Stegostoma tigrinum: one gene and its partner. The protein of the gene in region 1 purifies or fractionates together with the protein of each later gene. This does not show direct contact. Links are inferred from orthologs where the notes say so. Each region holds a gene or a part of one and is shown in the gene's direction. Other genes may lie near its edges.

Region 1 (15,927 bases):
TACTGGCAGGTTTGGAGAAACCACCTTTGCATGAATGGCTCCAGCAGTGAGAAATTTCAGCCATAAAATTAGATTGGAGAAGGTTGAGGGGATTTTAAAGAAGTTTTCAAAATCATGAAGGGTCTATACAGAATAGATAATGAGAAACTGATCCCACTGGAAAGAAAACATTGAGAGTAACAGTGCAGATTTCAAAGTCCAAAGATGCACAGGCGAGGTGGAACAAATATAGGAATTGCCGGAAAACCTCAACAGGTCCATCAGCATCTATGGAGAGAAATCAGAATTAACATTTTGGGTCGAGTGACTCTTCCTCAGTTCTGAATTCTTCATCACAGCCATCTAGATTTGAAATGTTAGCCTGCTTTCTCTCCATGGTTGCTGTTTGACCTTTTGTGATCTCCAGCATTTGTTGTTTTCAGCGCAGATTCCAGCATCTGCAGCAATTTGCTCCTTCCTTGATGAAGCAGTTGATGATAGTTGGGCTGAGGAATTTACCCTGAGAAACTCTTACAGTGAAGTCCTGAAACTGAGTTAGCTAACATCCAACAACTACAGCCGTCTTCCTATGTGCCAGTCATGACTCCAACCACAGGGAGTTTATGCCTGATTCCCACTTATTGCAGGTTTGATCGGACTCCTTGATGCTACAGTCGGTCAAATGCAGCCTTGATGTCAAGTGCAAGCATTCTCACCTCACCTCACCTCTGGAATTCAGTTCTTTTTTCAATATTTGGATTAACACTGGAGTAAGGTCAGGAGCTGAGTGACCGTGGCGGAACCTAAGCTAGGCGTCAGTGAGCAGGTTATTTCTAAGTAAGAGCTGCTTGATAGCACTATTGTTGATCCTGTCCAACACTATACTAATGATTGAGGGTAAACTGATGGGGCAGATTGGCCAGGGTGAATTTGTTCCGCCTTGTGTGTACAGAACATACCAGGCCAATTTTCAACTTTGTCAGGTTGAGACCGTGTTATAGCTGTACTGGAACAACTTGCCCAGGGGCGTCTTCAGTAGATATCTTCAGTACTATTGGCAGAGTGTTGTCAAGACCCAGTGTTTTCAATGCCCAGTGCCTCTAGCCATTTCTTGACATCACATGGAGTGAATCAAATTGAGGGAGGACTGACTTCTGTGATGATAGGGACCTCTGGAGGAAGCTGAGTATAGATTGTTGTGAATGCTTCAGCCTTACCTTTGGCACTGATTTCCTGGGTTCCCCATTGTTGTGGATGAGAATGTTTGTCAATTTTCTTTCTCGAGTGAATTTTTAATTGTCGACCAGCATACATGTTGAATGTCATTGGGTTATAGAGATTAGATCTGATCTGGAATCACACACTACTTCAGTCTTTTAACACTTTACTTAGGAGTTTAGGGACATCTATAATTTGCCTGCTTCTGCCAGATCATTTTGCACACAGGGTCACACATGCATCTACATGGTAGCATCTTTCCGCTCTTACACTGCCTTCTCCATGCGCACTCACTTTGTGTATAATTGAAGCCTCTTCACGTTTCATATGGCTTTCTTAGTCCACATGCACTGACTTTAGCAGTGACCTACAGGCTATCTGGTCGTTGTGAATGACATTGATCTCTTATACATAGAGTCCTCAGTGTTCATTCACAGCACTGCAGCTCTGTAACTTGCATTACATTTTAGTGCCAGTATTAGAAGCTTTGAGCTATAGAGAAAGGCTGAATAGGCAAGAGCTTTTGTCTCTGGAGCGTCCAGAGACAAAAGCTGTTCTCACAGAGGTTTATAAAGTCTTAAGGGGCATGGAAAGGGTGAACAACAAGGGCTTTTCCCCAGGGTAAGAGAGTCCAAAACTAGAGGGTAAATAAAATGTGAGGCTGGATGAACACAGCAGGCCAAGCAGCATCCCAGGAGCACAAAAGCTGACGTTTCGGGCCTAGACCCTTCATCAGAGAGGGGGATGGGGAGAGGGAACTGGAATAAATAGGGAGAGAAGGGGAGGCGGACCGAAGATGGAGAGTAAAGAAGATAGGTGGAGAGAGTATAGGTGGGGAGGTAGGGAGGGGATAGGTCAGTCCAGGGAAGACGGACAGGTCAAGGAGGTGGGATGAGGTTAGTAGGTAGACGGGGGTGCGGCTTGGGGTAGGAGGAAGGGATGGGTGAGAGGAAGAACTGGTTAGGGAGGCAGAGACAGGTTGGACTGGTTTTGGGATGCAGTGGGTGGGGGGGAAGAGCTGGGCTGGTTGTGTGGTGCAGTGGGGGGAGGGGACGAACTGGGCTGGTTTAGGGATGCAGTAGGGGAAGGGGAGATTTTGAAACTGGTGAAGTCCACATTGATACCATTAGGCTGCAGGGTTCCCAGGCGGAATATGAGTTGCTGTTCCTGCAACCTTCGGGTGGCATCATTGTGGCAGTGCAGGAGGCCCATGATGGACATGTCATCTAGAGAATGGGAGCAGGAGTGGAAATGGTTTGCGACTGGGAGGTGCAGTTGTTTGTTGCGAACTGAGCGGAGGTGTTCTGCAAAGCGGTCTCCAAGCCTCCGCTTGGTTTCCCCAATGTAGAGGAAGCCGCACCGGGTACAGTGGATGCAGTATACCACATTGGCAGATGTGCAGGTGAACCTCTGCTTAATGTGGAATGTCATCTTGGGGCCTGGGATAGGGGTGAGGGAGGAGGTGTGGGGGCAATTGTAGCATTTCCTGCGGTTGCAGGGGAAGGTGCCAGGTGTGGTGGGGTTGGAGGGCAGTGTGGAGCGAACAAGGGAGTCACGGAGAGAGTGGTCTCTCCGGAAAGCAGACAGGGGTGGGGATGGAAAAATGTCTTGGGTGGTGGGGTCGGATTGTAAATGGCGAAAGTGTCGGAGGATGATGCGTTGTATCCGGAGGTTGGTAGGGTGGTGTGTGAGAACGAGGGGGATCCTCTTAGGGCGGTTGTGGCGGGGGCGGGGTGTGAGGGATGTGTTGCGGGAAATACAGGAGACGTGATCAAGGGCGTTCTCGATCACTGTGGGGGGAAAGTTGCGGTCCTTGAAGAACTTGGACATCTGGGATGTGCGGGAGTGGAATGTCTTATCGTGGGAGCAGATGCAGCGGAGGCGGAGGAATTGGGAATAGGGGATGGAATTTTTGCAGGAGGGTGGGTGGGAGGAGGTGTATTCTAGGTAGCTGTGGGAGTCGGTGGGCTTGAAATGGACATCAGTGACAAGCTGGTTGCCTGAGATGGAGACTGAGAGGTCCAGGAAGGTGAGGGATGTGCTGGAGATGGCCCAGGTGAACTGAAGGTTGGGGTGGAAGGTGTTGGTGAAGTGGATGAACTGTTCGAGCTCCTCTGGGGAGCAAGAGGCGGCGCCGATACAGTCATCAATGTACCGGAGGAAGAGGTGGGGTTTGGGGCCTGTGTAGGTGCGGAAGAGGGACTGTTCCACGTAACCGACAAAGAGGCAGGCATAGCTGGGGCCCATGCGGGTGCCCATGGCCACCCCCTCAGTCTGTAGGAAGTGGGAGGAGTCAAAAGAGAAGTTGTTGAGGGTGAGGACGAGTTCAGCTAGGCGGAACCCCGGCCACAGCCGACGACCTCATCGCTCCGCCCACAACCTCCACAGCCAGCAACCGCAGAGAAGACAGCCACACTGAGCCCTGCCGCATCTTCACCATCCCCCCAGACCTCCCACTGACTGAGGACGAACGGTTAGTCCTTAGTAAGGGGCTCACCTTTGTCCCCCTACAACCACACATCAACGAATACCAGTCACGGTTGGACATAGAGCAGTTTTTCCGCCGTCTTCGCCTCCATGCCTACTTCTTCAACCGGGAACCTAACCCTCCTTCCACTGACCCCTTCATCCGCTTCCAACACAAGTCCTCCTCCTGGACACCACCCCCAGGCCTCCTACCCTCCCTCGACCTCTTCATCTCCAACTGCCGTCGAGACATTAACCGCCTCAACCTCTCCACCCCTCTCACCCACTCCAACCTCTCCCCCGCAGAACGGGCAGCCCTCCGCTCCAACCCCAACCTCACCATCAAACCCCCAGACAAGGGTGGCGCAGTGGTAGTATGGCGCACTGACCTCTACATCGCCGAGGCCAGACGCCAACTCTCCGACACCACCTCCTACCGCCCCCTCGATCATGACCCCACACCCGAGCACCAAACCATCATCTCCAACACCATTCACGACCTCATCACCTCAGGGACCTCCCACCCACAGCCTCCAACCTCATTGTTCCCCAACCCCGCACGGCCCATTTCTATCTCCTTCCCAAAATCCACAAACCTGCCTGCCCTGGTCGACCCATTGTCTCAGCCTGCTCCTGCCCCACCGAACTCATCTCCACCTATCTGGGCTCCATTTTCTCCCCTTTGGTCCAGGAACTCCCCACCTACGTCCGTGACACCACCCACGCCCTCCAACTCCTCCAGGACTTGCAATTCCCTGGCCCCCAACACCTCATATTCACCATGGACGTCCAGTCCCTATACACCTGCATTCCGCATGCAGATGGCCTCAAGGCCCTCCGCTTCTTCCTGTCCCGCAGGCCCGACCAGTCCCCCTCCACCGACACTCTCATCCGCCTAGCTGAACTCGTCCTCACCCTCAACAACTTCTCTTTTGACTCCTCCCACTTCCTACAGACTAAGGGGGTGGCCATGGGCACCCGCATGGGCCCCAGCTATGCCTGCCTCTTTGTAGGTTACGTGGAACAGTCCCTCTTCCGCACCTACACAGGCCCCAAACCCCACCTCTTCCTCCGGTACATTGATGACTGTATCGGCGCCACCTCTTGCTCCCCAGAGGAGCTCGAACAGTTCATCCACTTCACCAACACCTTCCACCCCAACCTTCAGTTCACCTGGGCCATCTCCAGCACATCCCTCACCTTCCTGGACCTCTCAGTCTCCATCTCAGGCAACCAGCTTGTAACTGAGGTCCATTTCAAGCCCACCGACTCCCACAGCTACCTAGAATACACCTCCTCCCACCCACCCTCCTGTAAAAATTCCATCCCCTATTCCCACTTCCTCCGCCTCTGCCGCATCTGCTCCCACGATAAGACATTCCACTCCCGCACATCCCAGATGTCCAAGTTCTTCAAGGACCGCAACTTTCCCCCCACAGTGATCGAGAACGCCCTTGATCACGTCTCCTGTATTTCCCGCAACACATCCCTCACACCCCGCCCCCGCCACAACTGCCCTAAGAGGATCCCCCTCGTTCTCACACACCACCCTACCAACCTCCGGATACAACGCACCATCCTCCGACACTTTCGCCATTTACAATCCGACCCCACCACCCAAGACATTTTTCCATCCCCACCCCTGTCTGCTTTCCGGAGAGACCGCTCTCTCCGTGACTCCCTTGTTCGTTCCACACTGCCCTCCAACCTCACCACACCCGGCACCTTCCCCTGCAACCGCAGGAAATGCAACACTTGCCCCCACACCTCCTCCCTCACCCCAATCCCAGGCCCCAAGATGACATTCCACATTAAGCAGAGGTTCACCTGCACATCTGCCAATGTGGTATACTGCATCCACTGTACCCGGTGCGGCTTCCTCTACATTGGGGAAACCAAGCGGAGGCTTGGAGACCGCTTTGCAGAACACCTCCGCTCAGTTCGCAACAAACAACTGCACCTCCCAGTCGCAAACCATTTCCACTCCCCCTCCCATTCTCTAGATGACATGTCCATCATGGGCCTCCTGCACTGCCACAATGATGCCACCCGAAGGTTGCAGGAACAGCAACTCATATTCCGCCTGGGAACCCTGCAGCCTAATGGTATCAATGTGGACTTCACCAGTTTCAAAATCTCCCCTTCCCCTACTGCATCCCTAAACCAGCCCAGTTCGTCCCCTCCCCCCACTGCACCACACAACCAGCCCAGCTCTTCCCCCCCACCCACTGCATCCCAAAACCAGTCCAACCTGTCTCTGCCTCCCTAACCAGTTCTTCCTCTCACCCATCCCTTCCTCCTACCCCAAGCCGCACCCCCATCTACCTACTAACCTCATCCCACCTCCTTGACCTGTCCGTCTTCCCTGGACTGACCTATCCCCTCCCTACCTCCCCACCTATACTCTCTCCACCTATCTTCTTTACTCTCCATCTTCGGTCCGCCTCCCCTTCTCTCCCTATTTATTCCAGTTCCCTCTCCCCATCCCCCTCTCTGATGAAGGGTCTAGGCCCGAAATGTCAGCTTTTGTGCTCCTGGGATGCTGCTTGGCCTGCTGTGTTCATCCAGCCTCACATTTTATTGTCTTGGAATTCTCCAGCATCTGCAGTTCCCATTATCTCCAAAAGTAGAGGGTATGGGTTTGAGGTGAGATGGTGATGGTGGAGAGGGCTGACCAGTCAAGGAGTTGAACATGTTACTGTGTAGCAGATGTGAAAACTCGAGTTCCTTCAATAAAACTGTGGTATCTTCCTTGGTTCCTGACAGGTTATCTGCTCTCTGATCTCACATGAATAAGCAGTATCTGGAGCCATAGAGTCAGCATTGAAACAGACTCTTTATTCTAACTTATCCGTGCCAACCAGGTATTCTAAAATGATCTTGTCGCATTTGCCAGGTCTTAGCCCATAGACGTCTACACCCTTCCTATTCACGCACCAATCCAAATGCCTTTTAAATGCCGTAATTGTAATCACTTCCACCACCTTTCCTAGCAGCTCATTCCATTACACACACCACCATCAGTGTAAAAATGTCCCCCCCCACCCCAATCCTTTTAAATCTTTCCCCTCTCACCTGAAACCTTTGCCCCCTGATTTGGACTCCACTACCTTGGGAAAATGACCTTGGCTATTAACCCTCTAAATGCTCGACATGTTATTTGGTTGCTCGAAAGATTGGGCAATTGTTGCTTGGTGCCTTCGGGCCCAGCTGACCCAGGTCTGCTGACAGTATCCTGCCAAGATGCATGCAAGTCAAACAGCTGCAGACTGGGATCAGTGATGGGAAAACTGGAGAGGTCAGACACCTCTAAGGTGTCCTGAGAAGAAGCTTCTGGGGACTGTATGTATGTATGTGTGTGTGTGTGTGTGTGTGTGTGTGTGTGTGTGTGTGTGTGTGTGTGTGTGTGTGTCTGTGTGTGTGTGTGTCTGTGTGTGTGTGTGTCTGTGTGTGTGTGTGTGTGTGGTTCCTTCTGTCTCCTGGTACTTCCTGGCACCAACCTGCCTCCCTGAGAGGAAGAGCTACTTGGAATGAGAACATGTTTCCCTTCAACATTCAAAGGAAAAAAAGCCCAACCTGTTCAGCCTCTTCCTGTATTTCAAATGCTCAAATTTCAGCAACATCCTTGTAAATCTTTTCTGAACTCTTTCAAGTTTAACAACAGCTTTCCTAAAGCAGGGAGACCAGAACTGAACACAGTATTCTAAAAGTGGCCTCACCAATGTTCTGTACAGTCACAACACAATGTCCCAAATCCTATACTCAATGCACTAACCAAAAACAATATAAAAGGAGACAACTACATCAGGAGGATAAGAAAGTTCCAGTGCTAAAAGCACATGTTCCAGAGGGAGAAACAGCAGGTGAAGATCCACCAAGGAGACAAGGGAATATAAAGAGATCCCACATCTGCAGGCATTGCCGTCATTTTCGTCATCTCTGCCAGACTTGAATGTCAGTGGCCTCCCTTGCTAAGTTGATGCGTCACACTAACTTTCCCTATAGAAATGTGTAAAATCACCACTGATTCCACACTCGCCACCAGAAGGTGGTTTTCAGTATGGAATTGTGTGTCCACAGCAGACCTAAGCGCATTTCTTGCACATTGCATTTGGCCTTAACATTGTCCAAGTGGAACACCTTGGCTGCCGTCCTTAATGCCGCATTTTAAGGATTGCTGAGGCTATCCGCTTTCAAGCAGTCAGTTGCTTGTGAGTGAAGAGCAATACTTGGCAATTGGAACTCCTTTCTTTCTTGGGGTATTGGAGAAGATGCTGCCGATCTTTCACACGGATGATACATAACCAGGTCTGACAACGAAAATTATATAGATATTTTAGCAGTGCAAACTAATATGCATTTACAAAAGTGGAAGATTAGTTATAATGATATTTCATCCGTGTCTCCACTATGTTCTCAGTAATTTGTTTTCTTCCCCTCTTCATACTCTTTTAAATGCAGTCCTGATCTCTGCAATGGGGTCAGAGGAAGCATAGTATGTGGATGCTCTGAATATTCGGGCACTTGTTCCCTGGTGCCTTTGGGCCAAGATGACCCAGGTCTGCTGACAGTATCCTGTCAAGATGCATGCTAATCATCCTCAAGTTGAAGAGCTGCAGACTGGAATCAGAGGTGGGCAAACTGGAGAGGCTGGACACCTCTCAGGTGTCCTGAGGAGAAATTTCTAGGGGTTACGTGTGGCTCTTTCTACCTCTTTGGTATCTGCCATTACCAAGCTGTCTCCCTGACAGGAAGAGCCACTTGGAATGAGAATGACTTTCCATATCCCCCTTGCAAATGATGCTGACTAACAATGGATATAACAACGGAATGTAATCTATACCCATATTTTTCAAACACTTAAAGTGCTCGAGTTGGGTGTCCATGGTGCTTTATCTGACCATGTCAACTTGTCTGACAGCTGGATGCACACAGCCAAGTGCTAGCACTGTACTGATTAAATTGGTGGACTCCTCCATCTTTCAATTAGATTACAAAGTGCTTCTGACACGCCTACCTGATGTTCCTGTGTCTGTCTGCTTTTTGGAAAAGTCAATAATGGTTGGGAACAAGCTCCTGTTCTGCCTGCAGTCCAACAGTTGCCTGGTCTCTGGTTGCCCTCTGAGTATTACAGACAAAGGTGTTCCTTTGTCAATCAGCTACAGTCAGTGATGTGCTCAACAGATCATGTTCCCAAGTCTAATTTAGAAAGTGTAGAACACCAAAGTGAAAGTCTCTGAGCTGGTAGAGAGTGAAGGTGAAAGCCTCTGTCAATGCATCCTCTAGGAATTCAGTAGCTTCCTCAGCAGAGGTGGAAGTGCAGCTGACAATCTCCAGCACTGGTCTCTTTGTGCAGGTTTGCCGGGTTTGCTCACGCTTACATAATAGAAGTGCAGAAGAGAGTTGACAAAGAGGAATAAAATGTGTTGGTTATAATGGGGGATTAGTAAAGTGCAGAAGAGCACAATGAAGCTTACTTGGTGGATTGGCTATTGTGGACTCTCCATTACCAAGTGAAGAATTATGCTCTTCTCCACGCAGATCAGAATTTTCTCCTCAAAGGGACCGAGGAGCCTGATGTCACCACCTCTCTGCAACTCTTGGACCCAGGTCACCTAGGTTGCTGACCTCATCTACTACTTCTGACCACCTGTCTTGATCTGGCAGAATGGCCTTCTCATGCCATCTTCAGTTAAGAGCACCTCCCATCATTTCCTGATAGCCTTGAGGAATTTCAGGAACTTCAAACAGTGAACTCTATTCTCTGATACTTTCCTAAGCATCTACCCCAAGCATACGGTCTTCTTGGTTTTGATGTTCAGCAGAGCTGAGTTACATTTTGCTGTGAACTCTTTGCCTTTCGCTCTTTCACGACTAATCCCTTGCCTTCTAACCTTTATTTTTCTACTTGTTCCTTTCACCTTGTTCTGCAGCTAAAAATCCATCACTTTTCTGATTCTCCCTTCACTTCTGAACAATTCACATTGGACTGGAAACCTGAATTCTATTCCTCTCAGCTGCTTCCGGACCTGCCGATTTTCTCTAACTTTGTTTTTTTTATCTATTTGAGCCGTGGTGGCTGTCAGGTTGGAGGAGAGAGTGATCTAGAAGGCGTTTGGCATGTTGACTGTAATTCGGCGTGAAGCAATCTCAGGCCTTCTGGCCAAACGAACGAAATCCATTGCTAACCTTTCTGAGACGGAAACGTCAACAATCAGTGAATTCTGGTCGGAACCACGACTCGGGAAGTTGTCTTTCGGGGGCAATGCACTGCGGGACCTGTCTTCCGTCGAGTGGTTGGTGCGCAGGTTATTGTGGTCCGGACACTGCGGGTTCCGGGAGGGTGGACGATGGAGTTCGCGGAGCTGATTAAGACTCCGCGGGTGGACAATGTGGTCCTTCACCGGCCTTTCCTGCCGCGGGTGGAGGGCACCCTGTGTCTGACCGGGCACCACTTGATCCTCTCCTCCCGCCAGGATAACAGTGAGGAGCTCTGGCTACTGCACAACAACATCGACGCCATCGAGAAAAGGTGAGTGAGGCTGGAGTCGGGCTTCGAGCAGCGGCGACTGTGTAGCAGGCAAGTAGCCGGACCTAACCTCACTTGTACGGTTTATGTGTCAACAGATTTGGCCACGAGCTCGTAAACTCTAACAGCTTAGAAATAAACTATAAATTTCCGACGAAGGGTTTCGGCTCAACAGATTGACTTCCCTGCTCATTGGATGCTGTCAGACCTGCTGTGGCTTTCCAAGCTCCAGTTTTATTGACTTATAGTCAACCATACCCATGTCCAGTTATTTGGAGCAGTCTAGAAGATCGCCCCATTTCCTTGTTTTTTGTTTTCCTACAGGTTTCGCAACTATGTTACACTAATCACTAAAATTCAGTTTCGCTTTATCTGCTCCCGTGGAGATGTTGTCTCTTTCTCCAACTGTAATGTCCTGTCTCTCGAGTATTGACCAGAAATCTGTCACTGTATGTTGTAATTGCGGCTCACACACTGTACTTGCACGAATTTGTCTTTTGTATGAAACAAATGTTTAAGAGGTGGAGTCATAGAATCCCTACAGTATGGAAGCAGGCTATTCGTCTCAAGTCCGCATCGAACCTCCGAAGATTACTCTTCCAGAACCCCTATCCCTTGCCTACTCCACATAGCCTGCACGTCCCTGGACACCGTGGGCAATTTAGAATGGCCAATCTACGTAGCTTGCATTTCTTTGGACTGAGGGAAGAAACCGGTAAACTTGGAGGAAGCCGCGCAGACACGGGGAGAATATGCGCACTTCCACGCAAATAGTCGTCCAACGGTGGAAGCCAACCTCGGTCCACCGTGATAGCCACTGTGCCAAATGTTTGCAATCTGTCAGTGAAGTGTGGGTCTCTTTCAAAGTCCATTTTACTACAGTACTCGTATTATTACTTGTTGAGATTTGTGTGCCTTTGCCTGCAGGTGTCTTTATTCACATCCTTTATGTCTATCAATCATCATTGACCGTCTGTATCAAACAATATTGCTATAGTTGCAACTGCAAGGTTAATTAAATCCATTGTCAACTTCAGGCTGTTCAATAAATACTTGCCAATGTAAAAGCACTGTAAGAAGGTGTAAATAGCTGATTGAAACCGCTCGATTGGGATTAAGAGTGTTAGGATTCTGGGTGCAATTTGTTAAGTAGAAATGGGAAAATCCTGTTTTATAAAAATATAAGTTAATCTACTTTTTGATTTTTGCCATCTGACACATGTTGATGTGAACACCACTTATCTACATGATTGCTAGCAGCAGTGGGGGCTGTATTTCAGTTGACTTTATTTCCATACGGGTTTAGTCCTTACTTCCTAAAGTTAAGTTAAACTGTCACTTGACTGACAGAGGGTCACTGGACTTAACTTGACTCTGCATTCTCTCCACAGATGCTGCCAGACCTGAGTTTCTCCAGTAATTTCTGTTTTTGGTTCATTTCTGGCATCCATAGTCGTTCCTTTCAATTCACGTAGATTAGTTTGAAAGCATAATTGTATAAAGGTATAGGGGACAGTACAAGTGACCAAGAGTTTACAAGGATCATTGAGGCAGAAATTGGGTAATAGCATGGAAGACTCAAAGAAAAGACAAATACGAGTTGTATTCAGTGGAGATGGTTTCGCGACAAGGCACCTTATACTTTTTTAAACTTACCACGTGAGCTGTGTGATAAGATATCACTTAGATTATTTTGTTTTTTAAACAGTCAGTGTTACACAGCAATAACGTATCAACGTAGTCCACAAAGGAGGGCTCAGCAATTTAAAATAATTAGAAGAATCCTTCACATTATGCATGACTAACTTTAAAATTTATAAAAGTACGTTTCAATAAGTGTTGCCTTGAGATCTATTCCCCAGGTGCTGAGCAAGTCATCTTTGGTGGCAGACCCATAGGTTTCTGTTTCTTGGATCAGTAAATTTATCTACCCAGTGAAAGAACAAATTAAGATGCATAAATCCCAGTCTTTCTGAGTCTTACTTAAAACCATGCCATTATGAAAGCAGCTCTGGGCAATGCTCTAATCATTGGAGAAAGAAAAAATAAATCATAATTCTCTTTATTTTCAGTTATTGCCAAAAGAAAATCTAACTCTTAACCTAATTCATCATTTTGCAGGACTGCACAATGAAAATAACTTAAATTCTGTGTCTCCAGTATGTAGCACCGTCTGACTGAAATATTCCATACTTGAAGAGAAATCAGCACTAGGACCCATCCCACTGTACACTGCAAACTCCTTTTGATCACCACATTGTACAACGAACAATAGCCCTACATAAATCTGACTGACACTGTCATGAATTCCAGGCTAATAGGGAGTGTTAATGCTAATAAAGCCATTTCTCGAAAGCGCAGAATTTTTAAAAAAATGACGTATAAATACCGCTGTTATTAAGTAGATTGTATTTCTTTATTTCCAGGTTTGTGGGAACATTGGGTTCAATTACAATTAAATGTAAGGATCTGCGTATCATTCACTTGGATATTCCTGGCATGGAAGAATGTTTAAATATCGCAAGCTCTATTGAGGTGAGATTTTTTTATTGATCAGTTGTTTTCCAAGTTATGATAAATTATTATTAGAATAGAGCTTCTCAAAAGATTTGATTTAGTGCTGAGGATCAGGCAGAATGAATATTCCTTTTTTGGTTATGATATGCTTTAGTTCTAACTTCAAAAGTACACTCTTGCTGTAGCTTTGATTTTTTTTTCAGCTGTGCTTTGGCTTTCTGAGTAATAATGAGTGTATTACGGATAGTCCAGGTTTGTTTTGAACACAAGACAGTGTGTTGAGATGCTGAAACTTCTTTTTGTCAAATTATTGTAGCCTGTTGAGATAATTTTGACTTTTAAACCTAGGTCCAAATTCAGTGAAACAATAACAACTTCTCAAATGTTATTTGACTGTTTCAGTGAAGATTTTAATGTGTAGTGTTGGAAGTATTTATCCAGTCTTAACATACAGCTCATTGAATGATCCTATTCCTTTCGATTTGTTTTTGTTTCCTGTTGGCCATTATAAGGCCATCATGCATTATCTAATCTTAATATCATTTGAGATTTAACAGTGGGCTGCATACTGAATCATTGTTGCCCGTATGATCTGAAGGAACTCCCATGGTGATTAAACAGGAAGTTGCTGTGCATTGAACCAGCAATGATGGAGGAATAACGAATGATGTATATCTGATTGACAAGTGTCCCTGTGCAGTTACTGCCTTGACTTTTCTGTGTGTTGTAAACTGTTGGTTCTAGAGATATTTTTGAAGAAACTGTGACTTCCATGATAGAAATAGAATTGCATTTGCCATTCACATGTTTGAGAAGAATTGAAATTTGTCATGTGTTAAATTTAGAGGGAAGTTCTTGATCAGTGAAAAGCCACTAATGAAGATTTCGTAATTTTGCTGTTTTTTTAATTGTTAAAATAAGTTCTTTCTGCAGATCTAGATCAAGAATATCACAAAATAACTACAGAATGGCAGCACATTGGTTCATAGGTTAGCAATGCTGTCTGACAGTTGTTAAGGACCAATGTTCAATTTCAGCCTTGGGTAACTGTGTGGAGTTTTCATGTTCTCTCTGGGTCTGCATCAGTTTTCTGTGGGTGCTCTGGTTTCTCCCCACAGTCCAAAGGTTGTCATAGAATCACTACAGTGTGGAAACAGGCTCTTCACCCCAACAAGTCCACACCGACCACTGAGCACCCCACCCAGACCTATGCCCCTATAAACCCACCTAATCTACACATCCCTGGACACTATGGGAAATTTAGCATGGCCAATCCACGTAACTTGCACATCTTTGGACTGTGGGAGGAAATCGAAGCACCTGGAGGAAACCCACGCAGACACAGCGAGAATGTGCAAACCATGCACAGACAATCGCCCGAACTTATTTTAACAATTTAAAAAAAAACAGCAAAATTACAAAATCTTCATTAGTGGCTTTTCACTGATCGAACCTGGGTCTCTGGTGTTGTGAGACAGCATTGCTATTCGCCAAGCCACCATACCGCCCCATGTACAATTAGGTGGATTGGCCATGCCGGAAATTTACTTGAAGTGTTGAAGGATGTGCAGGTTAGGTGGGTTAGCCGTGATAAAAACCGCCTTAGGGATTGTGGGATGGGGGTGGGCCTGGTTGAGATTTTCTCCAAAGGGCTGGTGCAGTTTCAATACGCCAAATAGCCTTCCTCTACATGATAAGGAATCAATGGAAAGACAGAAAATTGTCTTTTTAACCAAGAGTGTTTAGTTAAAAATACCCTTTTAATTAATCAGAGAGGCCTAGGCCTGAAACGTCAGCTTTTGTGCTCCTGAGATGCTGCTGAGCCTGCTGTGTTCATCCAGCCTCATGTTTTATTATCTTGGATTCTCCAGCATCTGCAGTTCCCATTATCACTTTTAATTAATCAATTTGGATAATGTACTAACAGAAGGGGCCATGATATTGGCCGTGGTGCTTGACTTTTGGAACAAATTTGGAGAGGCACAAAAAAAATGTAAAATATTGAATAATTGTGGAGGGCATCCTTCTGACTTAATTATTGTCAGCTGTACAATTGCTTGCAACCCTTGCTATATATAAAGTAATCTGAGTCTGTTTCATGCATAGATGTCATAAAATTGGATATAGCATGCATTTACCCATATTTACTAAAGGACCATAATCATAAATTACAATTTTGGTGGACATTTCCTGCTGAGTTATCTCACTGACAGGAATCCATGCAAGGTACATTATGAATTTCTGCTCGTTCACTTTAGGAAAGAAATCAATATTGCTTCCATATGTTGATTGAAGCTGAGAGGGAAAGGACCTTAGGCCATTTAAAGGGATGGCTGTACTAATTGACAACCATAATGGACCATTAATATAGATTGCTTTCTTTCAATATTAAATACTTCTGCGACTTGATTAAATCAGGATAGATATATTGCCTCAGATAACAAGGTGTAGAGCTGGATGAAGACAGCAGGCCGAGCAGTGTCAGAGGAGCAGGAAAGCTGACGTTTCGAGTCTGGACCCTTCAGAAATATTTCTGAAGAAGGGTCCAAACCCAAAATGTCAGCTTTCCTGCTCCTCTGCTGCTTGGTCTTCTCTGTGCATCCAAATCTACACCTATTATCTCAGATTCTCCAGCATCAGTTCCTGCTATCTCTAGGTATATTGTCTGCCCAATTTTCAGAATAGATCACCAGCAGGTGGAATTACTTTGAGAGCTTGTGCTAAGTCCTTTAAAGATTAGTTCATGCATCAAGAATTTCCGGTTTGGTGCAAGGATTTGCTTACTTCATTTGATGAGACAGTTTCAAAGTCTGTATGGATTTTAATATCAGCATCCCAAGTCTACTGTAAAGTCTTAACCAGTTTGGTCTCTAGTTTTTAGCTGGTGTGCAATTAGCCTTCATTGTTAGTGCTTTCTTGTAACGTAATTAAGTGTCCTAATTTACTTTTTCCTAAATTGAGGTTTGGAAGATACGTGCTCACTGTGGAAAGTTCATTAGGCTTTGTGATCATGTTTCTTGTGAGTAAATTTCCTATTCATTTGAACTTGTTGTTGCTGTTCATAAAGAAAGAAGACAGTGATACAAACAACTAACCGATGCATGGTGAATCCAACATGACACTCCAGAAGTTATGACGTGCTTTATTGAGCACATAGGATTAAATAGGTTTCATGAATTTTTTAAGATATTTATACTCAAGCAGGTAATCTGCTTAAT
Region 2 (16,299 bases), on another chromosome or scaffold:
GGATTTATTATGTAATTGTTAATCTTTAGACTATTGCTTGTTCACACTTTATGGGAATCTAAATAATTATAGTGTGGTTACACTGCAATAAATATGCATATACAAAGTTCTGCAATAGTTAAAGAGTCAAGGGAAAAGCCAAGCTTGTTTTTGATATTGGTCGAGAGAGGAATGCTGGTTAGGTTCCTGAGAAAACTCTGTGCTTTGTTTTGGATCATGCCAGATCCTTTTTCTGCATTCAACTTGTCAGAGACACAGAGCCTTAGAGTTTAACATCTTATCTAGTAGGCATTAAAGGCACTCTCCAATTCGGCATAAGTTAGGGAGAACCATCGTCTCCAAGTCAAACATTATCCTCAGGTCAATGTATATCACCATTGCTGGGTCACTAATCAAATGTTCCCTGTCTCACACCAGTGTACCATGGCCATCACAACATGAGCCAGAGGGGTTATCACAGAGCAACTAGGATTTTTTTTTTATTATTCATTCATGGGATGAGGTTGTCGATGCATTTATCACCTATCCCTATTTGCCCGGAGGGCAGTTTAGACCAGGGACCCAGGTTTGAATCCTACCACAGCAGACAGTGGAATTTGAAATCAATAAGAGAAAAGTCTGTAATTAAGAGTCTAATAATGACCATTACTAATTGTCAGGAAAAACCCACCTGGTTCATCACTGCCATCCTTACCTGGTCTAGCCTACATGTGACTCCAGTCTCGCAACAAAGTGGTTATTCTAAACTGCCCTCTGGGCAATTAGGGATAGGTGATAAATGCAGCGACAACCTCATCCCATGAATGAATAATAAAAAAAATCCTAGTTGCTCTATGATAACCCCTCTGGCTCATGTTGTGATGGCCATGGTACACTGGTGTGAGACAGGGAACACTTGATTAGTGACCCAGCAGTGGTGATATACATTGACCTGAGGATAATGTTTGACTTCGAGACAATGGTTCTCCCTAACTTATGCCAAATTGGAGAGTGCCTTTAATGCCTAATAGATAAGATGTTAAACTCTAAGGCGCTGTGTCTCTGACAAGTTGAATGCAGAAAAAGGATCTTGCATGATCCAAAAAAAGCACAGAGTTTTCACAGGAACCTAACCAACATTTCTCTCTTAACCAATATCAAAAACGAGCTTGGCTTTTCCCTTGACTCTTTAACTATTGCAGAACTTTGTATATGCATATTTATTGCAGTGTGACCACACTATAATTATTTAGATTCCCATAAAGTTTGAACAAGCAATAGTCTAAAGATTAACAATTACATAATAAATCCAAACTATACTTGAGACTTCAGACTAACTCTACTCAGTGTTATGAAAAATATCATTCTGGAACACAAATATATGTAATACCTGAAAGCCAGTGCTATAACCTCACTCTGAGGTCTAATTCCAAAGCATGCTTGATGTTCAGTCATTTCCTGCCTGACCATTAGATGGTGCTTTATACAGTTGAGGAAAAAGAACAAATCAGTATACTTGCAAACTGATCAGCAGCAACTTTAGATGGATTCACTTTTGATAATAATACAGGTTTCATACTTGAACAAGGAACATTCTCCCCTTTGGTCCAGGAACTCCCTACCTACGTCCGTGACACCACCCACGCCCTCCACCTCCTCCAGGACTTCCAATTCCCTGGCCCCCAACACCTCATTTTCACCATGGACGTCCAGTCCCTATACACCTGTATTCTGCATGCAGATGGCCTCAAGGCCCTCCGCTTCTTCCTGTCCGCAGGCCCGACCAGTCCCCCTCCACCGACACCCTCATCCGCCTAGCCGAACTCGTCCTCACCCTCAACAACTTCTCTTTTGACTCCTCCCACTTCCTACAGACTAAGGGGGTGGCCATGGGCACTCGCATGGGCCCCAGCTATGCCTGCCTCTTTGTAGGTTACGTGGAACAGTCCCTCTTCCGCACCTACACAGTCCCCAAACCCGACCTCTTCTTCCGCTACATTGATGACTGTATCGGCGCCGCCTCTTGCTCCCCAGAGGAGCTCGAACAGTTCATCCACTTCACCAACACCTTCCACCCCAACCTTCAGTTCACCTGGGCCATCTCCAGCACATCCCTCACCTTTCTGGACCTCTCAGTCTCCATCTCAGGCAACCAGCTTGTAAGTGATGTCCATTTCAAGCCCACCGACTCCCACAGCTACCTAGAATACACCTCCTCCCACCCACCCTCCTGCAAAAATTCCATCCCCTATTCCCAATTCCTCCGCCTCCGCCGCATCTGCTCCCACGATGAGGCATTCCACTCCAGCACATCCCAGATGTCCAAGTTCTTCAAGGACCACAACTTTCCCCCCACAGCGGTCGAGAACGCCCTTGACCGCGTCTCCCACATTTCCCGCAACACATCCCTCATACCCCGCCCCCGCCACAACCGCCCAAAGAGGATCCCCCTCGTTCTCACACACCACCCCACCAACCTCCGGATACAATGCATCATCCTCCTACACTTCCGCCATCTACAATCCGACCCCACCACCCAAGACATTTTTCCATCCCCACCCCTGTCTGCTTTCTGGAGAGACCACTCTCTCCGTGACTCCCTTGTTCGCTCCACACTGCCCTCCAACCCCACCACACCCGGCACCTTCCCCTGCAACCGCAGGAAATGCTACACTTGCCCCCACACCTCCTCCCTCACCCCTATCCCAGGCCCCAAGATGACTTTCCACATTAAGCAGAGGTTCACCTGCACATCTGCCAATGTGGTATACTGCATCCACTGTACCCGGTGTGGCTTCCTCTATATTGGGGAAACCAAGCGGAGGCTTGGGGACCGCTTTGCAGAACACCTCCGCTCGGTTCGCAATAAACAACAGCACCTCCCAGTCGCAAACCATTTCCACTCCCCCTCCCATTCTTTAGATGACATGTCAGTCATGGGTCTCCTGCAGTGCCACAATGATGCCACCCGATGGTTGCAGGAACAGCAACTCATATTCCACTTGGGAACCCTGCGGCCCAATGGTATCAATGTGGACTTCACCAGCTTCAAAATCTCCCCTTCCGCCACCGCATCCCAAAACCAGCCCAGTTCGTCCCCTCCCCCCACTGCACCACACAACCAGCCCAGCTCTTCCCCTCCACCCACTGCATCCCAAAACCAGTCCAGCCTGTCTCTGCCTCCCTAACCAGTTCTTCCTCTCACCCATCCCTTCCTCCCACCCCAAGCCGCACCTCCATCTCCTACCTACTATCCTCATCCCACCTCCTTGGCCTGTCCGTCTTCCCTGGACTGACCTATCCCCTCCCTACCTCCCCACCTATACTCTCCTCTCTACCTATCTTCTTTTCTCTCTATCTTCGGTCCACCTCCCCCTCTCTCCCTATTTATTCCAGAACCCTCACCCCATCCCCCTCTCTGATGAAGCGTCTAGGCCTGAAATGTCAGCTTTTGTGCTCCTGAGATGTTGCTGGGCCTGCTGTGTTCATCCAGCCTCACATTTTATTACCATATTTCACTTATCGGTTTAGTTTTTTTAAAATTTGCTATGTTATAGAAAGCATTTTCAATTTTTTGATTCAGTTGTAAAAACGTTGCACTAGATGCATGCAACCGACAATTCAGCAACTTAATTATGAATAGATGTACTCTACAATTATTTACCTAAGGTACTAGTCTTGAGCGCAACTGAATTGCAAACTTTCTAATTATGGCAAATGGGGTTGGGATTCAATTTCCTTCCTCATTTCCTGAAGATGCTGAAACATTCCGGTTTCTGGTTGAACTGGGAATGAAGACACAAATTAATTGTTGTTCATCCAATAATCAAGATTCTGAGATCAATATTTATTATTAAACTGGAAAGCTAGGGGAAGAAAGAAGGAAATGTAGTAAGTATACGTTCCTTCAGTCTCCAGGAACCAGAATGAGACTCAATTATAGAGTCAGCGGATCGTAAAGTTTTACAGGATGGAAACAGGCTGTTCGACCAATCGCATCTCTACTGGCTCCCAAAAGAGCTACCAGCTAGTCCCTTCTCCAGTCCTATTTCTGTAGCCCTCTAAATTAATCACTTTCTAGTGTATATCTAGCTCTCTTTTGAAACTTCCAATTGAATCCACCTCCACAACTTACCCAGGCAGCACTTTCCAAATCCTAACAACTCTCTCAGAGAAGACATTTCTCCTCATTTCACTCGTAGCTCTCTTGCTGACAGTCTTGAAATTGCGACCCCAAGTTACAAATAATAACTAGTGGAAACACAATATCGTTATTTACCGTGTCAACTCTTCATAATTTTGAATGCTTCAGTAAACTCACCTCTTAAATTTTGTTTCGCCAAGGAAAGTAAGGTCAATTTCTCTAATATTTCTTTGCACCTAATATCCCTCATTCCTGGTATCATTCTCATAAATCTCCATTGCTCTCTCTCTAGGGCTTCAATATGCTTCCTTAAATAAGGAACTGAACACAACACTCCAAATGTGGTCTGGCCAATGATTTGTAGAGGTGTAGCATCATTTCCTTGTTTATATACTCTGTGCATTGATTTATAAACCCAAGGGTTCTATAAGACTTCTAAACAACTGTTTCAAATTGCCTGGCCACCTCAGACAATTATGAAGTGCTTTGAGAGGCTAATCATGGCCCACGTTAACTCGAACCTCCCAGCCAGCCTCCTTCCCCAGCAATTTGTCTATGGACATAACAGCTCCACAGCAGACATCATTTCCCCAGCCCTACAGTCATCCATGGAACATCTGGATGACAAGTACACCTACGTCAGGCTCCTACTCATTGACTACAGCTCTGTCTTCAGCACCATCATCCCTATCAGACTAATCTCAAAACTCCGAGACCTAGATCTCGGATCCTCCTTCTGAAACTGGATCCTCAGCTTTCTGACCCACAGACCACAATCAGTGAAGATAGACAACAGCGTCTCCTCCACCATAATCCTCAACACTGGTGCACTGCAAGGATGCACTTAGTCCCCTACTGTACTCCCTGTACAGACTGTAGACAAATTCTGTACGAATGCCATCTACAAGCTTACTGACAACACCACTGTGGTAGGACGGATATCAAGCAACAATGAGTCAGAATACAGGGAAGAGAAAGAGTGCTTGGTGTCGTGGCACAATGATAACAATCTCTCTCTCAATGTCAGCAAAACAAAATAACTGACCATTGACTTCAGGAAGAAAGGAGGAGAACACACCCTACCACATAAACGGAACTGAGGTAGAGAGGGTCAAGAGCATCAAGTTCCTAGAAGTGACAATAACTGACAATCTGTCCTGGACTTCCCACATTGGTGCAACTGTCAAGAAAGCACAACAGCGCCTCTTCTTCCTCAGGCGGCTCAGGAAATTTGCCATGTCCATAAGGCCCTTCACCAACTTCTACAGATGCACCAATGAAAGCGAACTGTCCGGGTGCATAATGGCCTGGCGTGGCAACTGATCTGTCCAGGACTATAAGAAACTACAGAAAGTTGTGTGCACAGCCCAGACCGTCACAAAAATCAACTTCCCATCCACAGACTCCATTTACACATCGCATTGCTGGGGAAAGGCTGCCAACATCATCAAAGGGCCCTCCCAACCCGCTAATGCTCTCCTACAATCTCTTCCATCAGCCAGAAGATACAGAAGCTTGAACACATGCACCAATAGGTTCAAGAACAGATTCTTCCCAGCTGTTATTAAACTGATGAATGGACCTCTCCAAATTAAAATAAAGCAGATCTTGCTAAGGATGATCTTGCTTTATGTACCTCCTATGCAGCAGTGACTTTATATGCCTAGCTTTGTCTAAGCAGCCTGTATGTCCTTGTTTGCTATGATCTCTTTGTACTGCTTGTAAAACAAAGCTTTTCACTGTAGCTAAGCACAAGCAACAACAATGAATCAAATTAATTAAGACTTGAACCCTGAGGTCCCTCTGTTCCAGTAATTCCCTCAAAATTGTACCATTGAACTGTATTTTCTGTCCAGTTTTCTTCCACCAAAATGCATTGAAATTCATCTACCAGGTGTCTGCCCATTTGGCCAACTTGTCAATGTCCCTCTGAAGTTGCTCAACATTACCCCCACAATTCACTACTTTCCCTAGTTTAGTATCATCTGCAAATTTAGAGATTTTGCCCTCAACACCCATCTCCAAATTATTTATCTAGATCAGAAAAAAGCAAGGGTCCAATCAATGACCCTTTGGGAAACACCATTCTCAACTTGTCTCCAATGTGAAAAATGCCCATCTATAGTTACCCTCTGTTTCCAATCACCCATCAATCCCAAACATGTCTAATTTGCTAACCCCAACCTGCCATGTGTCATCATATCAATTGCTTTCTGAAAGTCCAAATAGACATCATCCACAGCACTACACTTATCCATTGTCTGTATCACCTTTTTAGAAAACTCAGTTTAAATATGTCAGACATGACCTAACCTTGACAAAACCATGCTGACTGTCTTGTATTGACTTTTTTTTTCTAAGTGTATACCAACCTTATCCTGTATTATGGCTTCCATCAGTTTTCCCACTGTAATGTCAAACTGATACGACTGTCATTTCCCGGGTATTAAGATATTAGTGGTCACGGGTATTTTCTTTCAAGTTAACTCATTTCCTCAGTGTTGGAAACAAAGTTGTTTAAGGGTCAACCAGACCAGCTCCAGAGTTGATTGAGAGCAGGGTTGCATTATTGGTATTTAAGATGTGTGTTCCTAGGTGTCTTATATTGATGTGGAAGTGTCCCAACCTCTGGGCCAGAAGGTCTGGCTTCAAGTCCCACCTATTCTGGAGACATGTTGTGTCATAACATGTCCAAACAAGTTGATATTCAAAAAAAGTGTCTCATGGATACTGTTTGTAATTTGATGAGAAGTGTAGTTATTTCTTAAAAGAACTCACATCTCGATGGGCAGTTTTGTTATTGGGTGATTAGTTGATTTGTTAATTGACTTTCCAGTTTTTGTTAGCTTAGAAATCTTTTGCTTTCCTTTTGATTGCACTTCAACCGCACTCTCCTGATAAATCGCCAAACCATACAAAATAGGAACATGAGTAGGCAGTTCAGTTCTTGGAGCCTTTTCTGCTATTCAGTAGGATCATGGCTGCTTTAACACTCTGCATGTTCACTTTCCTGTCCTTTCCCACTAACACTCGATTCCCCTACTGATCAAGAATCCATATATCTCAGCCTTAAAGTAGACGGAAAGATTCTGTCCCTACATCTCTCTGCAGCAAGGATTTCCAAAGACTTAGAATCCTCTGAGAGAAGACATTCCTTCTCATCTCAGTCTTAAATTGGCATCCTCCTGTTCTGAGACTATGCTCTCTGGTCCCACACACTCCCTGTCAGCATTTATTCTATCAAGCCCCTTAAGAACCCTGCATGGGATATTAAGAACTGCCTATGCTGGAGTCAGAGATAACACAGTGTGGAGTTGGAGGAACACTGCGCTGCATCAAAGGAGCAGGATAGCTGACGTTTCAGGTCTGGACCCTTCTTCACAAATGGGGCGGGGCCCACCTTCTAATTGACAGAAGGCATGATCACGAGGGTCTAGGGGCGGGGACTACTTTCTGATTGACGGCGGACCAGGTCACGTGGGTCTAGGGGCGGGCCCAGCTCCTGATGTAGAGTGTGCATCATCACGTGGGTCTAAGGACGGGGACGACATCTGATTGAAGGTGGACCCTGTCACGTGGGTCTAAGGCGCGTGGCCCACCTGATTGACAGGGCCTGGGGTCACGTGGTGCGGGCGGCTGGTTCGGGTACCGTTCGGTCATTGCAAGGGTGGAGACGATGGCGCGTCTGCTGCTGTTTCGGAGCCAGTTCCTCGTCGTTCGGCAGTTGCGGGCTTACAGCGACGGTAGCCAGGTATCAGACCAGGATAGGGCAGGGCTGTGTTTGGCCTGGGAAGGGGAGGAGCGGAGTGATAGCTTGACATCATGTCGGGTCCGGTGAGTGAGTGATGAGGCAGGCCCAGGCGGGGGACGGGGGTGAAGAGATACCCCGTCCATCTGCTTCACCCCACTGATGTCCCACTGCACACTCCTATCCTCCACCTTTTCCCACCCAAAACAACCCAAGGTCATTGTACTGGGTGGAGCTGCCCTTCCCAGGCCCAGTTACCGGAGCCTGGGCCTTGATTGGGGCTGGGGCTGGGGTTGTGTCTGGGCCGTGAGGTGAGCCCTGCTGGAAGGATGGTGTTCCAGAGCTGTATGCAAGGCTAAAGCTCGGGGTGGGGGAATTAAATCTCATTCTGCGGTTTTGAGGAAGGGTCACCGCACCCGAAACACTGACTCAGTTTTTTTCCTCCACAGATGCTGCCAGACCTGCTGGGCTTTTCCAGCAATTTCTGTTTTTGTTCCTCACTCTGCAGTGGTTTGTCTTAACAGCAGCAGCACCCGCCAGAAGAATTCTTGCTCCCTTTGTTTTGTTCACTGTTGTTACGTTAACCAGTGTTAGTGAAAGGATTAAACAACTTAGCCTGTGATTTTAATAATTTCCATGTTTTAAGTTTGAGCTTTCAATTGTTTTAGATTGTTAGCAGGATATGGGTGACATTGGCTAAATGCTGTTTGTGAAGAACATGGACATTTGGGATGTGTGGGAGTGGAATGCCTCATCCTGGGAGTGGATGTGGAGGAATTGGGAATAGGGGATGGAATTTTTGTAGGAGGGTGGGTGGGAGGAGGTGTATTCTAGGTAGCTGTGGGAGTCGGTGGGCTTGAAATGGACATCAGTTTCTAGCTGGTTGCCTGAGATGGAGACTGAGAGGTCCAGGAAGGTGAGGGATGTGTTGGAGATGGCCCAGGTGAACTTGAGGTTGGGGTGGAAGGTGTTGGTGAAGTGGATGAACTGTTCGAGCTCCTCTGGGGAGCAAGAGGTGGTGCTGATACAGTCATCAATGTAACGGAGGAAGAGGTGGGGTTTGGGGCCAGTGCAGGTGCGGAAGCGGGACTGTTCCACGTAACCTACAAAGAGGCAGGCATAGCTTGGGCCCATTCAGGTACCCATGGCCACCCCCTTTGTAGGAAGTGGGAGGAATCGAAAGGGAAGTTGTTGAGGCTGAAGACGAGTTCGGCTAGGCGGATGAGGGTGTCGGTGGAGGGGGATTGGTCGGGCCTGCGGGACAGGAAGAAGCGGAGGGCCTTGAGGCCATCTGCATGAGGAATACAGGTGTATAGGTACTGGACGTCCATGGACCGCAACTTTCCCCCTGCAGTGGTCGAGAACGCCTTTGACCGCATGTCCCACGTTTTCCGCAACACATCCCTCACACCCCGCCCCTGCCACAAGCGCCCCCAGAGGGTCCCCCTCGTTCTCTCATACCACCCCACCAACCTCTGGATACAATGTATCATCCTCCGACACTTCTGCCATCTCCAATCCAACCCCACCACCCAAGCTATTTTACCATCCCCACCCTTGTCTACCTTCCGGAGAGACCACACTCTCCGCTACTCCCTTGTTCGCTCCACACTCCCCTCCAACCCCACCACACCCGGCACCTTCCCCTGCAACCGCAGGAAGTGCTACACTTGCCCCCACACCACCTCCCTCACCCCACCTCCCTCACCCCTATCCCAGGCCCCAAGATGACCTTCCATATCAAGCAGATGTTCACCTTCACGTCTGCCCAAGTGGTATATTGTATCCATCACACCCAGTGTGGCTTCCTCTACGTTGGGGAAACCAAGTGGAGGCTTGGGGTCTGCTTTGCAGAACACCTCCGCTCGGTTCGCAACAAACAACTGCACCTCCCAGTCGCGAACCATTTCAACTCCCCCCTCCCGTTCCTCAGACGACATGCCCATCATGGGCCTCCTGCAGTGCCACAATGATATCACCCAAAGGTTGCAGGAACAACGACTCATATTCCGCTTGGGAACCCTGCAGCCCAATGGTATCAATGTGGACTTCACAAGCTTCAAAATCTCTTCTCTCCCCCCCCCCCCCCCCCCCCCCCCCAACTGCATCCCAAAACCAGCTCAGTTCTTCCCCTCCCCCATCACAAAACCAGCCCAGCTCGTCCCCCTTCTCTTCCCCCCCCCCCCCCACTACATCCCAAAACCAGCCCAGCCTGTCTCTGCTTCCCTAACCTGTTCTTCCTCTCACCCATCCCTTCCTCCCAACTCGAGCCGCACCTCCATTTCCTACCTATCACTTCATCCCGCCTCCTTGACCTGTCCATCTTCCCTGGACTGACCTATCCCCTCCCTACCTCCTCGCTATACTCTCCTCTCTACCTATCTTCTTTTCTCTCCATCTTCGGTCCGCCTCCCCTTCTCTCCCTATTTATTCCAGTTCCCTCTCCCCATCCCCCTCTCTGATGAAGGGTCTAGGCCCGAAACGTCAGCTTTTGTGCTCCTGAGATGCTGCTTGGCCTGCTGTATTCATCCAGCTCCTCACTTTATCTTGGATCCTCCAGCATCTGCAGTTACCATTATCACTAAACAAGGGTAGTGTGTAGTTTGTAGTGTAATGTGCAGATCATGCATCTGTCTTTGGCCCTTTGGGTAGTAGATGTCATGATTTGGAAGCTGCATCTAGAAAACACCAATGGTAGAGGGGTCAATACGTTGGAGTTGGAGGAACATAACAGTCAGGAGCAGGAAAGTTGGTGTTTTTGGGTTTACACCCTTTGTCAGAAGTGGGAAAGTAGTGGGGCTGGGGGAAGGTAAGTGGAATGGTGATAGGTGGATGCAGGTAGGGGGTTGTTGAGATGTGTCATGGGAAGGGTGGAGCGAATGTGTGAGAAAGAAGATTGATGGTTTGTGTCAGGTCAAGGAGGTGGGCATGAGAGGGAGCGATGGACATTGGATGAGGCTGGGGCTGGGGAGATTGAAATCAGTTTCACAATGAGGCCATTGAGCGGTAAGCTGCAAAAGTGGAATTTGAGGTGGCGTTCCTGTAGTTTTATGTGCAGTGTAATTGTGACACAAGAGGGTGGGTGGGGAGCAGTGGTAGTTAAAATGGTCAGCAACTGGAAGGTGCTGTTGATTATAGTGTATGGAGCATGGATGCTCTGTGAATCAGTCAGTAAGTCTGTACTTGGTCTCCTCTACGGTGAGATCAAGCACAGACCATATTGAAAACAATGGATACAGTGGACCAGGTTGGGGAATGTAGAAGTGAATTTCTGGATTTGGAAAGATTGTTTGGGGCCTTGAATGGTGGTGAGAGGGGAGGTGTACAAGCAGGTGTAACACTTCCCTGCGGTTAAAGGGAAAGGTGCGGGGGGTGTGGTGGGCTCGGTGGGAAGTGTGGAGTGGAAGAGGGAGTCAGAGTGACCAGTACCTGTGGAAGGCAGGTGTGGGTGGGGAAGGAAATGTCTCTTTGCAGTCAGATCGCAGGTGGCAAAAGTGGCGGCGGATAATGTGCTGGATGTGGAGGTTGGTTGGTTGGGTGCTCTGTGATGACCAGGGAACTTGGCCTTTTTTTGGGGAGAAGGGGTTTTAAGGGCAGAACTGCAGGAAATGCAAGCAATGTTGTTGTTGGTATTATGAATCACTGGAGGGATAAGTTATGGTCCTTGAAGTAGCGGAGCATCTGGAATGTTCGGGAATGGAACACTCTGAGATGATCCAGGTGAGGTTGGCGTGAAAGGTGTTAGTAAAGTTGATGGATTGTTCATGCCCCTCATGGGAGCATGAGGCAATACCAATACAGTCTTCAGTGTAGCGGAGGAAGAGGTGAGGGATGATTCCAGTGAAATTACAGAAGAGGGTCTGTTCCACGAATCCTACAAAGAGCCCGGCATAGCTTGGACCCAAGTGGGTAGTGGGATGCCTGTCAAGTAAATGGCTTTGTCCTGGATTGTGACTTTCAACAGGTTGATTTGAATCCCTTGGTCTTCACCCACTAAAACTGTCAATGGTCTTTTACAATTTGACCAAAATGTATTTTCTGAAGGAGCCTGATTTGGCAACTTTCTATTACGTTGTTTGCAGCTGTTAGATTTTCATACCTGCAGTCAAAAATCAAATTGTAACTGCTGTTTCATATTATCCTGTCACTGTCATTTGTCGTATAGGCTGCAACTGACTTAGCAACGAAAACAGAAATTGCTGGGACAACTCAGCAGGTCTGACTGCATCTGTGGAGAGAAATCAGTCAGTGATTCAGGTCAAGTGACTCTTGCTCAACTTGACCTGAAATGTTTACTCTGATTTCTCTCCACAGATGCTGCCAGACCTATCTTTTCCAGAAATTTGTTATTGATTGATTTACAGCATCCACACTATTTGTTTTGAGTTATTTAGCACACTTGTGCTGATAAAATAGAAGATATAATTTGTTTTAGGATCCTGGAGTAACTTGACATCTAACACCATCATGGTGCTAGATAGTTTGGAGCCAAAGGATGTTGTCTCTTGTGGGGCAGATGAAATCTAGGGAGCATAGGTTAAGAAGAAAGTATTCTTCTGAAAGATACACTCTTCTCAATGTGTTAGTGTGGAATTCTCCAGTGGAGGCTAGTCTTTAAATTCGTTGAAGGCTGTGTTAGATTTTTCACATACAAGGGAATTGAGTTATGTGGGCTGACCATAAAGTAGGCCTGAAGCCATAACCAGATAAGCCATTATCTCATTGCTGAGATGTTGAGCGGTTCCAATTTGTATATAAAACCAGATATTTCCTTCCAAGGGAACATAGAAAATACACATACAGCATTGCCTAACCTGAAGGTGGACATTACTGTGTTTCAGCTGGGTGAGCTTGGCCAGGGTGCTGGAAAAGGAGGTGGTGGTGGAGGGAGCATAAGAGAAGCTGGAGGTGCATTCGGCAGAAGGGAGGCAGCAATGGAGGAAAAATACTTCAGGTAACTACTTCTACGTTGTTGATTTTTGTCACTTGTGACCTGTTTTATCCCCTCTCCATCCTGCCTTGATTTAACTATACAGCCACCCAATATGTATAGAATCCTGATGTGATGATTTAGGATCTGTTGAATTGAGAGGAGGCGGCTGTCTGAAATTGACAAATCTCTGCAACTCTCTGTACACGATTTTAAACAATCTGTTTTGCTGCCAAGGGTAGTCTACTCTTTGGCTTTGTGTAAAGTTTCAATTTAATGGGGTAAAGCGTGTTTCCAATGTATTAAACTCAGCCTGTTGCTTCTGTCATGATGGCGGCCAATTGATGCAATATGTCACACTTTTACATGCCATGCATCATGAAATGTTTGTTTGAAAGTCCGTATAATCCACAGTACCAGTTTGTTTTATCTATCCTGCTAGTGTAAAATATGGCCTCCCTTCTACAGTTTGGATGGGGGGTGTTTTAAAACACATGACTTCCTTCAGACTCAGATGGGGCCTAAATATTCTTGAATAGTTGAGGCTTGTCAGTCATATTTACATTGTAAGTTCTGCATTTCGTATAGATATACCTGAAAAAGTTTGTTCACTCATGCTTGGTAAGAATTCTGAAAACCAGTTCTAAAAACTCAAAAACTGTTTATGTTCTGTGATGCAGAAACTGCTTTGGCCTCTGTTTATTTATGGTGTGTGTGCGCGCACCCGCCCAGTGCCAACCCCCTGGCGGGGGGGGGGGGGGTGGTGGCCTTGCACCGGTGCGGTCCTTGGAGTGTACGGGTACCCACGGTGCTGCTGGAATGACACTTCCAGGGTTTTCTTCCAGGAACAGATGGCAATTAGATTTAGGAAAGGTGAGTTGCTTGGAGGGAAATTTGCAGTTGATGGTGTACCTATGCATCCACTGCCTTTGTCCTTCTAGGTGGTAGGATTTGTTTGGTGGGGGCTGTATGATAAACCTTGGTGAATTACTATGGTGCATCTTGTAGATGGTCCTGACTGCTAGTGTTGACGGTAGAGGGAGCAAATCTTGAAGGTGATAGAGGGGTGCTGGTGAAGAGGGATGTGTTGTCTTGGATGATGTCAAATTTCTTGAATGTTATTGGAGCTGATCATATTTGCATTTCAGGAAGTGAGTTCATGCCTGAGTTACCAGCGTCTGACTTAATCTTGTGGCCAAGGTATTTACTTGGCCAATTTCTGGTGAATGGTAACCGCCTAGATATTGATATTGGAGGAAAAATACAGTAAATGAAAACATGCACATCAGTTGCTTTCACTTTATCTATTCCAAAAAAGATTACCAATACATTGAAACCCAAAATTTCCACCTTTAATTTGGCAGTATCAATTTAGCACAGGACTCAACTTAGCTCAGGCTGTTTATGCCAACGGTCTTGAAACAAGCAGTTAGACTAAATCCCAGACTTCCATAATGCACATTGGATAAATACTTGATAGTTACAACTGGAACCAATAACATGTCTGAATCACACTGGCATAATATTAATCCTGAGCACGCAGGTAGTGGTCAATCTTAGCTCCTATCTAAATTTTGCATGAATGGGTTTGATGAATTGAGAGAAGCTTTTCCAATTTTTTTGCTCACATCACTGGGTCTCCAAGATATTGAAGTTTCCTGCTGGTTCTCAATAACACTTTCTTTATAATTATTTTGCTCAATGCAACACTTGCGGTTCGTGACTGCCCAGTTGCTCAGGTCTATTGCTGAGAAGAAATGTTGCCCTTTGCCTTTTTAAATGTACACCTTCTTGGCTATGGCTTGAGAAAAGCAATCTCTGATGCATGATATTTAGCAAACTGCTTTTTCAATACCTGCCAGGCTTCTGAGGTTGATTCTGTTTTGCAGGGAAAAGGAAATGGAACAGATTGAAAATCTGAGGAAACATCATCAAGAGGAGATTAACCATCATGAGCAGGAAATACAGCGTTTACAGAATGAGATTAAACGCCGCAAGAATCAGATCAAGAAGCTGAAGCATGATGACTATGACAGTGACTAGATTTGTAGTATTTGTGTTGCTTAGATTATCTCAATCATAGCATTTGTTGATGGTGGACTCATAATTGTGCTTGAATGTAAATTGTTAAATAAAAATACACTATGTTCACTATCTCAAACTTCGTACTTTGTAGACAACTTATGCACACGGCCACAGCGCTTTACATGTTTTTTGATTGTCTAACTGAGTCTTTTTCCTCTGGATCGGGAATCCAAAATTAGAGGGCATAGGCTTAATGTAAAAGGAGAGATTTTTAAAAGGGATCTGAGGGGCAAGTTTTCCATACACAGGGTGCTGCCAATGTGGAATGAATTACCAGAGGAAGTGGTACAGGTGGGTACAATGACATCTTTTAAAAGACATTTGGACAGGTTTCAAGGAATATGGGACTAGTTCATTCTGGGGAAACATGGTTGGCATGAATGAGTTGGGGCAGGGGGCCTGTTTCCATGCTGTATAACTACAAACTGTTATCCATGTGGGTGACATAGACATGCATTTGCAATTTTGGACCACTTAAAGTTCTAATGGTTTTTAAAATTATATTACTTGACCTGATGTTGATAATAGTAATTCTAAATGAAATTATTAAAAATAATTTTAGGCTTAGGAGTAACTTACTCCAGTAAGACTTGTGACTAGTTTTGTTTATCAATGCTGAAGAATTTTGATATCTGGACAGTTTTCAGTTAGTTCCAGCATATTAGTAATGTAAAAATATAGCACATCTTTAATTTTGATGGGGGGAAGATGGTGAATTAGTAGTAATGGTACTCATCTAGCAGTGCAGAGGACAAGGCTAATGTTCTGGGTTCATTAAATCCCATCATAATTTGTTCAACTAAATTAAATGAATAAATTTGGAATAGAAAGTTTGTTAATATTGAATTCACCAATATACTCTTAAGGAAATAATTTGGTATTCTTATCCAGACTGGACTGCATTTCAGATGCTCAGCAATGTGGTTGCCTCTTAACAATCCTCAGATAACCTGGTAGGCTATTTAATTCAAGAAGTTCTGGTTTTGCTGGTGTTGCCAATGACCTGTGAAAGAGGAAGCTGCCAACTCTTATGAAAACCAAAGCAGGTTTGATCATAATGTTATGCATTGAATAAACTGCAGTAAAATGTGAACAAATTTACATCCGCACTGATGTTTTGGTTTCAAGAAGCCATTTTTGTAGTATATGCCATCTGCTTGTTTTTTTTGCAATCAGAAGATAGAGGTATTAAGTGATGCAGCAGGGTGGGAAATATTGGTTAAAGAGCCATGCAACAAAACACCGGGCTTTATGAACACACATCCATTCTCCTGACCTTGCTGGGGCATGGGAGTAGATGCCTGGTGCAGTGTTGGTTAGACAAGCTTTTAGATGAATGCCAATTGCTATCAGCATTTAGAGTATCCTGTTGACTATGCTGTAGATAAATGCTTGTCTTTTAGTCAATTTCTT

Evidence for each region.
Region 2: the proteins of mtmr9 (region 1) and atp5if1b purify together in Homo sapiens (affinity purification with mass spectrometry; 5 studies listed by BioGRID and IntAct, with this or other methods). This does not show direct contact. The link is inferred for Stegostoma tigrinum from reciprocal best matches to the Homo sapiens genes MTMR9 and ATP5IF1.

Annotation. Positions count from the first base shown.
Region 1 is NC_081357.1:78,589,078-78,605,004, forward strand, and holds the start of mtmr9 (myotubularin-related protein 9), read left to right. Parts: upstream 1-9,940; 5' UTR 9,941-10,013; coding exon 10,014-10,195; intron 10,196-12,618; coding exon 12,619-12,727; intron 12,728-15,927. UniProt on the Homo sapiens protein: Acts as an adapter for myotubularin-related phosphatases. Increases lipid phosphatase MTMR6 catalytic activity, specifically towards phosphatidylinositol 3,5-bisphosphate and MTMR6 binding affinity for phosphorylated phosphatidylinositols.
Region 2 is NC_081377.1:35,734,002-35,750,300, forward strand, and holds atp5if1b (ATPase inhibitor B, mitochondrial), read left to right. Parts: upstream 1-7,677; 5' UTR 7,678-7,799; coding exon 7,800-7,874; intron 7,875-7,930; exon of another isoform or gene 7,931-7,945; coding exon of another isoform or gene 7,946-7,957; intron 7,958-12,712; coding exon 12,713-12,825; intron 12,826-14,690; coding exon 14,691-14,844; 3' UTR 14,845-14,955; downstream 14,956-16,299.